3 linked regions of the Oryctolagus cuniculus genome follow. The protein of the gene in region 3 purifies or fractionates together with the protein of the main gene of each other region. This does not show direct contact. Links are inferred from orthologs where the notes say so. Each region holds a gene or a part of one and is shown on either strand. Other genes may lie near its edges.

Region 1 (4,225 bases), on a different chromosome or scaffold from region 3:
AATGGTAGTATCTTAAAAAGTACTTCCAGGGAGGACCCTGAGGCCTTATCAATGAGCTTCTTGTACTCTGTTCACTAACACCTCTCGGTTTATCTTGCAGCTTGAACTAATCGTTTACCCAGGCATGAATTCATAACCTCATGCATTGGTCAAGTGGAAAATACTGGTTCAGAGTGTTACACAGGTCTTCCACCAGTACTATGGAAAGCTCCACTGTATACTCATGAGTGAGCCGGGGCAGGGTGGGGACAGCATTGTCTTAGCAGTACCACGAAAATAGCTTTGTCCTTTGGGTTCCCTTTTTGGGTCAGAGATCGCCACACCTACACCGAGTCCCCGTCCTATGTAGGCTACAGGCTTTCTCACCAGCGGACAACTTCTGCAAACATAAAGGACAATCGTTTGGTTGCAAAAGATTTGAGCTGGTTAACCTAAGGTTAAATATAAGCTGTATTTCAAGACTGTAAAAAAAATAAATAAATAAATAAATCAAGCCTGAAGAAGGAAAGAAAAAGCACCTATATTTTTGCTTTCTAGATCTAATCAATGTGACTATTCCGGTCCCCTGGAACTTCTACTAAGGGTGCGGGGACTGTGTTAATAAGGGAATCTCAGATTTACATTGGCTCGTACAAATAAATTCATTTTTTTCTTGTTTAAGTATGCTGTACACTTTTGCAGCCTGTCCTTTCATTTAGCCGTGTACTATGGACAATTTCCCCCTATTCTTTGAAAAAAACTTTTTAAACGATTGTATAATAAAATTTTCAGGCTCACACCTATTTTAGATGAAGTGACTTTAGCAAAGAGCAATTTCAGTCAGCAGTGGGAAGAAAACCTAACCTGACAACAGGCAGGGTCTCTGCGCTGGACTCGCCCCGCGCGGGCGGCCTCCCGGGCCGTTAGGGCTTGGTGCGTGCACTCGCGTGGGCCCGACGTGGGTCCGGACAAAGGGGACAGCTGGATAGGCCCGCTGTCCCATATGGAGGGAGCGTCGGCCAGCTCTCCTTCCGTCCGCGTCCAGAGACCTCTCGCCCTTGGCTGGACACCGGAACCCGAGACGGGCTAGCCGGAAAGACTGGGCATGCGTGGGACGCGCCGGGCGTCCCGTCCGAGGAACTGTTAAAGGACCGAGAGGAATCTGCGGCCATCGCGGCTCCTCAGGGTGCGGAAGCGCGGGTGGGCACAGGGGTACGGCTCCTAGGGTTACCCCTGAGCTCCATCTCAGCCCTTTCCTAACTGCAGCCGCAGCCGTCGGAAAACTCCGCACACGCGAACCCCGTCCGCGGCGGACGCACTTCCCCTCCCCAGCAGGAAGGGAGGGCGCAGACCGAGTGGGCGCGCCCCTGAGTCGCGCATGCGCAGTCCGGAGGGCGTCCCCTAGAGTGGCATCACGGCGCCGGATTCACCGCCCCGCCGGGAGTGCGCCTGCGCGGTCGCCGGGGGCTCTCCACCTCCGGTTCCCCTCCCCCTGGTCCCCCGCGGGGGCTCCGAGCCCGGCGGGACCATGTTCACCAGCACCGGCTCCAGTGGGCTTTGTGAGTACCGGCCGCCGCCGTCCTGGCTGCCCCCACACACCCCCCTGAGCACTTCCTTGAGGAGGCTGGGGGCAGCCGAGCCCCTCCGGCTTGAAGGAAGTGGGAGGGCCGACCCTCCATCTCCGAGCCCGTACCTCAGTAGTTGGTGGCCTTGGGGGGCAGCGGGCTCCGCCCCCATCCTGGCTGGCGAGTGGGCTCGGAGTCCCGCCGCCAGCCTCGGCCCCCGCCCGTGAGCCCCCCCGGCGATGCTGGCGGCGGGCTGGGCAGTTGGGGTCAGGCTGGATGCCCCGGTGTTCCGGGGGCCCTGCCCGATGCCCCCGGTAGCGCGTGTGCCAGGCCGAAAGAAGAGGCCGTCCCGGTGGAGGCGGTGCTGGGAGCCTGCCCCCTTCTCGTCACTTTCCCCATTCATTGAGGCCGCCGACAGGCAGAGTGCAGCCCTCGTCAGGCGCTGACCTCCCCGAGTCGGGAGACGCGCTTCTCCCCGGTCTGAGGAGTTTTCGGGCGATTCAAGTGCTTGCGAGTGGAGAGAAGTTTAGGGAGCCTTTGGCCGGAGACCGTGCTCTGCTGCTGGTGTCGCCGTGGCCATCGGGGCGGCAGCGCTGGTCAGAGTGGCGAGGGAACTCCTATTAGCCGTTTAAACAAGGAGCCACTCCAGGGTGTTTAGCTGACTTTGGGTAAAGCGGATCTGTTAGCCGGACAGCCCTGAGGTCGTGCCCTGACTCCAGCAACAGCCAGCTGTTGGCAGCCAGTATTTGAGCAGCTCTTCGCGAAGCTCTGATGTTTCGTTTGCTTGTCTCCGCGGGCGCTTCTTAACTCTATACGTGTGAAGTGAATGTTGTCGGAATACAGGCACCTGTCTGGCGTCCATCAGCGTCGCAGTCCTGTAGTAAAAATGGTGGGGGTCGGCGCCGTGGCTCACTAGGCTAATCCTCCGCCTAGCGGCGCCAGCACACCGGGTTCTAGTCCCGGTCGGGGCGCCGGATTCTGTCCCGGTTGCCCCTCTTGCAGGCCAGCTCTCTGCTGTGGCCCGGGAGTGCAGTGGAGGATGGCCCAGGTGCTTGGGCCCTGCACCCCATGGGAGACCAGGAGAAGCACCTGGCTCCTGCCTTCAGATCAGCGTGGTACGCTGGCCGCGGTGGCCATTGGAGGGTGAACCAACGGCAAAAGGAAGACCTTTCTCTTTGTCTCTCTCTCTCACTGTTCACTCTGCCTGTCAAAAAAAAAAAAAGGTGGGAACGCATGTCTTCGACCCAGAGTGTGTTGGTGTCAGGGCCACAGGCGTGCGTTTACTTCCCCACCTCTCAGGTTGGGGATTTGATTCATAGCATCTTCCATGGATTGGTCCCAAAATGAGTTACATCTCCTAGGTGGTTATAGTCTCCCTACTACCTTTGGGCTGAAAACCATTATGACTGTTGATGGATGGAACTGAAGCTTCAAGAAAGGGATGGAAAAAGGGGTAGAATTCTTCAGGCTTCTTGTTCTTCAGCATTTTGAACTATCCTTGGTGACCAAAAATACATGTAACAATTGAAAAGGCAAGATAAATCTGTTATTGGTTATTAGTGTATTGGCAACTTGTATTCTGAGGAAGGTAATATTTTGTGACCTGTGGCACAATTTATATTTTTTTTATTACTTTGGTGACTGTTGAGTTCTAGGAACCAAATTGCTGCCCAGAGAGAGGCTTAGGCTGCGGGGCCCTCCCCAGCTGTTTTGGCCAGTTTCTGAAATAAGTGTATCCTCAGTGTGAGGGTAGGTGGAATGGCCCTTCTTTAGGAAGCTGGTGCCATGTGCTTATTCAACAAATACTTTGGGCATCTTTGAGGATATTTCAAAAAGTTGGTAGAAAATGGAATTAAAAGATGAGTTGATTTTGGGGGCTGGCAGAATGGCGTTAGCAGGTAAAGCCATCAGTGAGACACCAGCATCTCGTGGGCACAGGTTCATGTCTCTGCCACTCCACTTCTGGTCCAGCTCCCTACTCATGTCCTGAGAAAAGCAGTAGAAGATGGCCCAAGTGCTTGGGCCCCTGCAGTCCATGTGGGAGACCCATTAAGCTCCTGGCTCCTGGCTTCCACCTGGTCATCGTGGCCATGAACTGTAATTCTAACTTTCAAATAAAATAAATATTTTTTTTAAAAGACAAGTGGATTTTAGTATAAAAGTTTTTGAAATCCTTGTATAGTTCTTTCATAGTACCCATTTTTCATGAACTTTTTTTTTTTTTTTAAATTTTTTGACAGGCAGAGTGGACAGTGAGAGAGAGAGAGAGAAAGGTCTTCCTTTGCCGTTGGTTCACCCTCCAATGGCCGCCGTGGCCAGCGCGCTGCGGCCGGCGCACCGCGCTGATCCGATGGCAGGAGCCAGGAGCCAGGTGCTTATCCTGGTCTCCCATGGGGTGCAGGGCCCAAGCACCTGGGCCATCCTCCACTGCACTCCCTGGCCACAGCAGAGGGCTGGCCTGGAAGAGGGGCAACCGGGACAGAATCCGGCGCCCCGACCGGGACTAGAACCCGGTGTGCCGGCGCCGCTAGGCGGAGGATTAGCCTAGTGAGCCACGGCGCCGGCCCATGAACTTTTTGAAGACCCCTTGTGTGTAGGGATTTCAAATTTTTTTTGGCACCAAATCAACTTACCTTTCAATTCCACTCTCCATGAACCTTTTGAAGGCCACTTGCACTGAA
Region 2 (3,647 bases), on a different chromosome or scaffold from region 3:
TCCTAGACTGACTGACACACTGCCAGGCTGTTACCCAATGAACAACAGAAAGGGTTTCTGCTGTTGTATGGAACTGGTTTTACTCTTGGTATAATAAATATCATTTACGTAACTGGCTCTGTCCTTCAAACATCATTTAAAGATTGGATTTTGTAATACTGCAATGTGCACAAAATGGCTCACACACAGTAACAACAAACCAGAAACCATTCCCTTTGGAATGACCCATCCTTAAGAAAATACATAAACCCTTTGAACTTTGACAGCAACATTCACTTCTACTGATAACTTCAGCTCTTTGGCAGTACATTTTTGTATTTCCTCAAATTACAAAACAAAGATTAGGGCAATAAAGCCCAGCAAAAAATTGGACGCTACTAACTTGCTATTAGACAGATCAGGCTCAGTGGTCTTAAGACACTTTCTAAACTCTGAATCCAAGAATATACATTTTTCATGACACGGGAAACTTGGATTGAGTTCTTGGCTCCTGGCTTTGGCACTGGCACAGCTCCAGTGATTGTGGGCATTTGGGGAGTTAACCAGTGGCTGGGAGCTGGCTCGCTCTCTCTCTCTGCCTCTCAAGTAATAAAAATAAACAATCATGACTAAAGTTGTAATGATTACTCCTCCTTAAAATTAAACATCACAAGTTAATGGTAAAATAGTTCTTACGAGGCAAAGTTATAGAATAAAGGAAAGAAAGTTGAGTAGAAAAATATAAAAGAATAGCATAAATAATCAACTTACCTTTCAGATAAACTTGGGAAGACTTAAATGAGTTAAGCCATGAGGTAGTCACAGAAATAATTAAAGTAAGAAGAGCAAGTGCTAAGAAAATCCGGCCACACAGCAAAAAGAGATCTTTAAGTCCTTAAAAAAAATTAATTAAAGTTAAAATTCAAAACATTTTTTGTTGATACTATGTTGATACTACTAATAATAACAATAAAAACACATTAAAAGGTTATCTTTACTAGAAAAGTAATAGACGGTATGAGCCTGGGGCCAGCATTGTGGCCCCAAGTAAAGCTGCCACCTGCAATGCCAGCATCCCATACGTATGCCAGTTTGAGTCCCAGCTGCTCCACTTTCAATACTGCTCCCTGCTAATGCACCTGCGAAAGCAGCAGCAGATGACGCATGTGCTTGGGCCCTTGCATCCAATGTGGGAGACCTGGAGGAAGCTCCCGGCTTTAGCCTGGCTCATCCTGGCTGTTGTGACTATCTGAGGAGTGAACCAGCAGACAGAAGCTCTCTTTCTCTGTCTCCCCCTCCCCGAAACTCTGCCTCTCAAATAAATTATATATATTTTTAAAGATTTTTTATTTATTTATTTATTTGACAGGTAGAGTTAAAGAGAGAGAGAGAGAGAGAGACAGAGAGAAAGGTCTTCCTTCCATTGGTTCACCCCCCAAATGGCCGCTACCGCCGGCGTGCTGCACTGATCTGAAGCCAGGAGCCAGGTGCTTCTCCTGGTCTCCCATGGGGTGCAGGGCCCAAGCACTTGGGCCATCCTCCACTGCACTCCCGGGCCTCAGCAGAGAGCTGGCCTGGAAGAGAAGCGACCAGGACCAGAACCTGGTGCCCATATGGGATGCCAATGCCGCAGGCGGAGGATCAACCAAGCAAGCCACGGCGCCGGGCCCTAAAATAAATATTTTTTAAAAAGAAGTTATTAACCGTCATGATTATTTCATGCATTCTGCTTTGGGAACTGTAATTCATCCTGGCTGTCACAAGTTTTCAGAAACCAAAATGACTTTTCAGAAAATAATTCTAGAATAAACACCTCTGTCTTAAAAATATAAGTATAATTAGAGTGGTAGGCTGCATTACAAAAATATGGCTATCTATGAAGCCTAAGTTCTAGATTCCCCTCCTGCCTAGGGAAGGCAAATGAACTACATAATTGGGAATCAGACTGTGAGAGTACCGTCTTGGTCAAATACGAATTCTACTCAAAACAGTCATTCCCACTGCAATCCCACATTCTGACTTGTCACAACTAGACATGCAAACTGTGAGCTTCTCTACTTCTCCGTATTCATCCATTCATTTGCAAATAAAATTACTCTTTGTCTGTCTAGAAAAAAAGCAAAACGTCAGTAGTTGGTTTTACAATATTTTAAGCACCAAAGTGAAAATTAAGTCAGCAAAAACTGTAATGAGCGCCTACTTTGTGGGATACAATTTGCTAAACAGCGAAGGGGACAGGGGACATAAAGCTGGGTTGCATATGACTTCTCTCCCCCAGGAGTTTTTACTATCATTTTGTTTTGTGATTTTCAAAAGTTACTTGGCAGACAGAAAGGAAGCATCACACAAATGGAATCTGCACTGATTGTTAATTAACCAAAGATGAAAGAAGTCATAAACACTTATACATACGAATTTAAAAGTTCTTTTAAACTGAAAAGATGCATCCTTAAAAAAGAAACAGCAACAGTAAGTTGTTTAGAAAAGCAATATGATTTTTTATACAATTTTTTAAATGGGTGCCATCAACTTATTATTTTTTTTTTTTTAAGATTTATTGATTTGGGGAAGGGGGAGAGAGGGAGATCTCCCATCTGCTAGTTCACTCTGCAGGTAGCTGCAACAGCCAGGGCCGGGCCAGGCTGAAACCAGGAGCCAGGAGCTTCTTCCAGTTCTCTCACAACGTGGGCCCCTCTTTTCTTGCATCACAGCTCTTCCAGCTCTCAATAGCAGTAACTACTGATTCACATGTTGTTCATTATAGATGTAATTCAATCTAGGGTATCTCTGGCCATGGCAGAAATAATTTTTTAGAAGATTTATTATTTATTTGAAAGGTAGAGTTATAGAGAGAGGGAGGGAGATTTTCCAACCAGTGGTTCACTCCCCAAATGGCCACAATGTCTGGGGCTGGGCCAGACTGAAGCCAGGAGCCAGGAGCTTTTTCCAGGTCTCCCTCATGGGTGTAGGGGACCAAGAACTTGGGCCATCCTCTGCTGCTTTCCCAGGAGCATTAGCAGGGAGCTGGATGGGAAGTGGAGCAGCTGGAACTCAAACCAAATGGGAACTCATCCCCAAATAGGATGCTGGTATTGCAGGCAGTGGCTTTACCTGATATGGCACAACACTGGCCCCACAAAAGTAATTTAATATATACATTACTGGTACAGCGATATCTCAAGAAGTTCACAGAGGAGCTGGCAACATGGTACAGTGGGTTAGGATACTACTTTGTGACACCTGCATCCGCTATCAGAGTGCCCATTAGAATCCTGGCTGCTCTGCTTCTAATCAAGCTTCCTGCTAATCCACCTGAGAGAGCAGTGGAGGGGGCCAAGTGCTTAAGACTCTGCCACCCACATGGGAGACTAGCTCCTGGCTCCTGGCTTCCACCTGGCCCAGCCCTAGCTGTTAGACCATTTGGGGAGTAAATCAGCATATGGAAGACCTCTCTCTATCACTCTGCCTTTCAAATAAATAAACAAGCAAATAAATCTGTTTTTAGCAGTTCATAGAAAATGGAATGAAAACAATGAAAGTAGCTGTTGCATTATAAGGTGTGGTTTGTAAAACAGGCGTAAACACTGTTAGCAGATACTTGGAAGCCCACCATCAAGAAATCAAAGAAAACCACCATGAGTTTACAAGAGAAGGTTCCAGGAGAAAGG
Region 3 (3,647 bases):
AACAGAAGGGTAGAATTAAACAGTTGAGAAAGTGTCCATATATCCTGAACAGAATTAACATTACAGAAAACATTCAGATACGTTTCTAGAATATAATGGTGATCTTTATGGTTCTGAGAAGAAATTATCAAAACATTTAACTAGGTATATGAAAATAAAGGATATAACAGTAGAAACTATTATGAAAAATAAAGTGCTCTTACGAAATACAAAGTTAAATAAGTCTTTGATAGTCAATTTTTTAAGTTTGTCCCAAGTACCCTTTGTACCACACACACACAAAAAAGCACAAATTTTAAAATGGCATAAATTTGAAAATTTCAGAATGCCACAAATTTGAAACCTTTGAAATTTCTAAGCTTGAGGGTCTGATTCAGAATCAGAATTAATCCTAAACCCTCAAGTTTAGAAAATGTCTACTTAATCTCTTAACAATTACAAAATAAAGTCTATTCCCTTAAAAGTCGCTCTTGTGTGCCAAACCACATAAGCAGTATTAACACTTGTGGTTTATCTCTAAGCTTCACAACTATATGGAAGCTCTCAACTCTGACTGCGCATTAAAATCACCTAAAGACTTTCTGGGAAATACAGATACCCAGGCTCCATTTCCAGAGTCTGAATTTGGAGTTTTTTCTTTGTTTTTTAAACCTAATCTCCCCAGATGACTTCCATGGGCAGAAAAGGCAGAGAAGCATGAGTCTCAAGAAATCTTTACTGCGAGATTATGTCTTTCAAATCCATGTTATGTTTCTTTCTGCTAACAAATTTTAAAAACTCACCCCTTTCACTCATTCCTATGGCCTCTCTCATCTACAAGAATATTAAGCAACAAATAAAAAATACAATTCACATAAAACAATCCTGAATATCTAATCTAGCAAAGTCAAAAACCACCTCACAAGTCACAGACAGTAAAATCCTGTGGTTTCATCTTTCCTTGATACCTTGCATCTGGTTCTGAGAAGAAGCTACCCTTTCAGTAGAAATAGCACACACACACACACACACACACACACACAAAGGACAGGCACATGTGCAAACTCATCATTATCAAAAACTAATGAATTATTATTTACTTCTTAAATGCTAGTGTTTATTAGAAATTATAAAATACAAACTTTTGAGTATGAGAATGATTCACCAGGCCAAACATGAAAATCAATTTTACTTATAACAATTTTATCTATATAAGTAGTGGGGCCAGCACTGTAGCATAGCAGGTAAAGTTGCCACCTGCAGTATCAGCATCCCATATGGGCACCGGTTCAAGATCCGGCTGCTCCATCTCCTATCCAGCTATCTGCTATGACCTGGGAAAGCAGTAAAAATGACCCAAGTCCTTGGGCCCCTGCACCCGCATGGGAGACCCGGAAAAAGCTCCTGGCTTCAGATCAGCACAGCTCCGGCCGCCAAATGGGGAGTGAACCAACAGATGGAAGACCTCTCTCTCTCTCTGCCTCTCCTTCTCTGTGTGACTCTGACTTTCAAGTAAAATAAATAAATCTTTAAAAATAAATAAATCTTTAAAAATAAATGTAGCAATAGCTGCTCATTTTTTTGAATGAGTAAACATGGATAATTCCTAATTCAGAACAAAATTATTAAGATAGAAAATACCTTTTCGAGCCGGCGCCGCGGCTCACTAGGCTAATCCTCCGCCTTGCGGCGCCGGCACACCGGGTTCTAGTCCCAGTCGGGGCGCCGGATTCTGTCCCGGATGGCCCTTTTCCAGGCCAGCTCTCTGCTGTGGCCAGGGAGTGCAGTGGAGGATGGCCCAAGTGCTTGGGCCCTGCACCCCATGGGAGACCAGGATAAGCACCTGGCTCCTGCCATTGGATCAGCGCGGTGTGCCGGCCGCAGCGTGCTGGCCGCAGCGCGCCGGCCGCGGCAGCCATTGGAGGGTGAACCAACGGCAAAGGAAGACCTTTCTCTCTGTCTCTCTCTCACTGTCCACTCTGCCTGTCAAAATAAATAAATAAATAAATGAAAATTTAAAAAAAGATAACTACATTAGAATTTAAAAAAAAAAATACCTTTTCAAAACACAAAAGGAATAAGCAAAAAAATTAACATTTTAACTACATAAATATTCAATATTTAGAAAGAGATCCACAAATAGAATGGTTGCATCATAGAACAACTTACTAGAGCATATTTGTGGTAGTATGTGAGTTCTACATTCTATGAGCTGTATCTCTCATGTGAACTAGAATCTACAATCTTGTTAGTACTATTAGCTCAGGTCTTTACTATTAATCACACATAGATAATCACCACATAACAAATATAAATTAAAATACAGATGGAAAAGGAAATGGGCACTTAACACATATAAAGGGGAGACTGCAATGAACTTTGAAAATCCGAATAGCACAAAAATTAGAAAATAGTAATGTACTCCATCTCCCCCTGGTGCTTTAAGATGAAATAGCATGATTTTTAAAATTTTACTAGATTTAGAAAAATGAGCATGAAAGACAGCCAAAACAATTTTTAAAAGTGTTTCTATTTTCTGCCATTAATAACTACAAAATAGGAACAACAAACAAGAGATGGAAAAGGAACATAATTAAAATTTGAGAGTTATACAAATTAATCAAAGCAACAAATCATCCTTCTAACAGAGGCACAGTAAACAATTTTCTTTGCACTCTTGTTTATTAGTATATTATAGCAAATCAGTTTAAGATTTCAAGATTTAGTTCTTACCTCCATTGGTATGTGGTTTCTTTTTAAATGAAACTGTATTAATCATGTCCCACTCTGCTTCATAACTGTTCAGATATTCTGATCCTCGATGAGCTCTTTCTTTTGGGGCCTGGGTCCATTCTACAACAGAACTGGAGTCCTAAAATAATAACAAAAATATGAAATATGTAAAGTCTAAAACTGGAATTTCATTTGACTCTATAACATCTCCACCATTTCTACTAAATTAAACTTTGTGGGTTGTGGCAGACATCACTAGTAGGAAAACCAGACACTCTTTCCTATCCTTTATTCCCTTGCTCATATTTACCAAAAAAAAAAAAAAAAAAAAAAAAAAAAAAACTTACCCAGACTCCCTTTCAGTTAGGTTTGCAAAAAAAAACATGCAAAAGTCATCTGTACATCTGTAGGCTCTGGAAATGCTTTGACTTTCATAATAAAAGCTTCATCTCTTTTCCCCTTCATCCTACTTTGCCACTGTGAAATCTAAAACTATAGTAGCCATAGTGTAGCAAGGGAACTACTATAAAAGGCTCCCATCCAACAGACTCAGTAATTTGAGGAAAACAATTGTGTTCTCTCACTGGCAATCAAAAGGAGCTAAAAGCAGCATATCTAAGTATATAGTTCTACAGAACTTTCATTTTCAAAAGAAAAACCAAAAGTCTAAAATGCAGTATTAATAATTTGACTAAATCAAAACATTTGACTTCTATACAACAAAAGACATCACACATAAAGATTAGCAAGACTGCGATAAAAGGCTTTTGAAAAACAAAAGAAAAACATCCAAACCAATTCCTACCAATTTAATTAGAAATAGATTAATATCAAAACAGAAAAGCAATAGTTTGACTAGGTAAGTCTCCCTCCCCCCAAAAAACAGAAACCCATAGAAAGATGTCCAACATCAGTAACAAAGAAAAATAAAATAA

What was found.
Region 1: the proteins of TBC1D15 (region 3) and UBAC2 purify together in Homo sapiens (affinity purification with mass spectrometry; 3 studies listed by BioGRID and IntAct, counting the BioPlex papers as one, with this or other methods). This does not show direct contact. The link is inferred for Oryctolagus cuniculus from reciprocal best matches to the Homo sapiens genes TBC1D15 and UBAC2.
Region 2: the proteins of TBC1D15 (region 3) and UBXN8 purify together in Homo sapiens (affinity purification with mass spectrometry; 3 studies listed by BioGRID and IntAct, counting the BioPlex papers as one, with this or other methods). This does not show direct contact. The link is inferred for Oryctolagus cuniculus from reciprocal best matches to the Homo sapiens genes TBC1D15 and UBXN8.

The regions. Positions count from the first base shown.
Region 1 is NC_091440.1:13,393,855-13,398,079, reverse strand, and holds the start of UBAC2 (ubiquitin-associated domain-containing protein 2), read left to right. Parts: upstream 1-1,357; 5' UTR 1,358-1,507; coding exon 1,508-1,538; intron 1,539-4,225. UniProt on the Homo sapiens protein: Restricts trafficking of FAF2 from the endoplasmic reticulum to lipid droplets.
Region 2 is NC_091433.1:80,778,226-80,781,872, reverse strand, and holds part of UBXN8 (UBX domain-containing protein 8), read right to left. Parts: intron 874-3,647; coding exon 751-873; intron 1-750. UniProt on the Homo sapiens protein: Involved in endoplasmic reticulum-associated degradation (ERAD) for misfolded lumenal proteins, possibly by tethering VCP to the endoplasmic reticulum membrane. May play a role in reproduction.
Region 3 is NC_091442.1:74,445,487-74,449,133, reverse strand, and holds part of TBC1D15 (TBC1 domain family member 15), read right to left. Parts: intron 2,852-3,647; coding exon 2,713-2,851; intron 1-2,712. UniProt on the Homo sapiens protein: Acts as a GTPase activating protein for RAB7A. Does not act on RAB4, RAB5 or RAB6.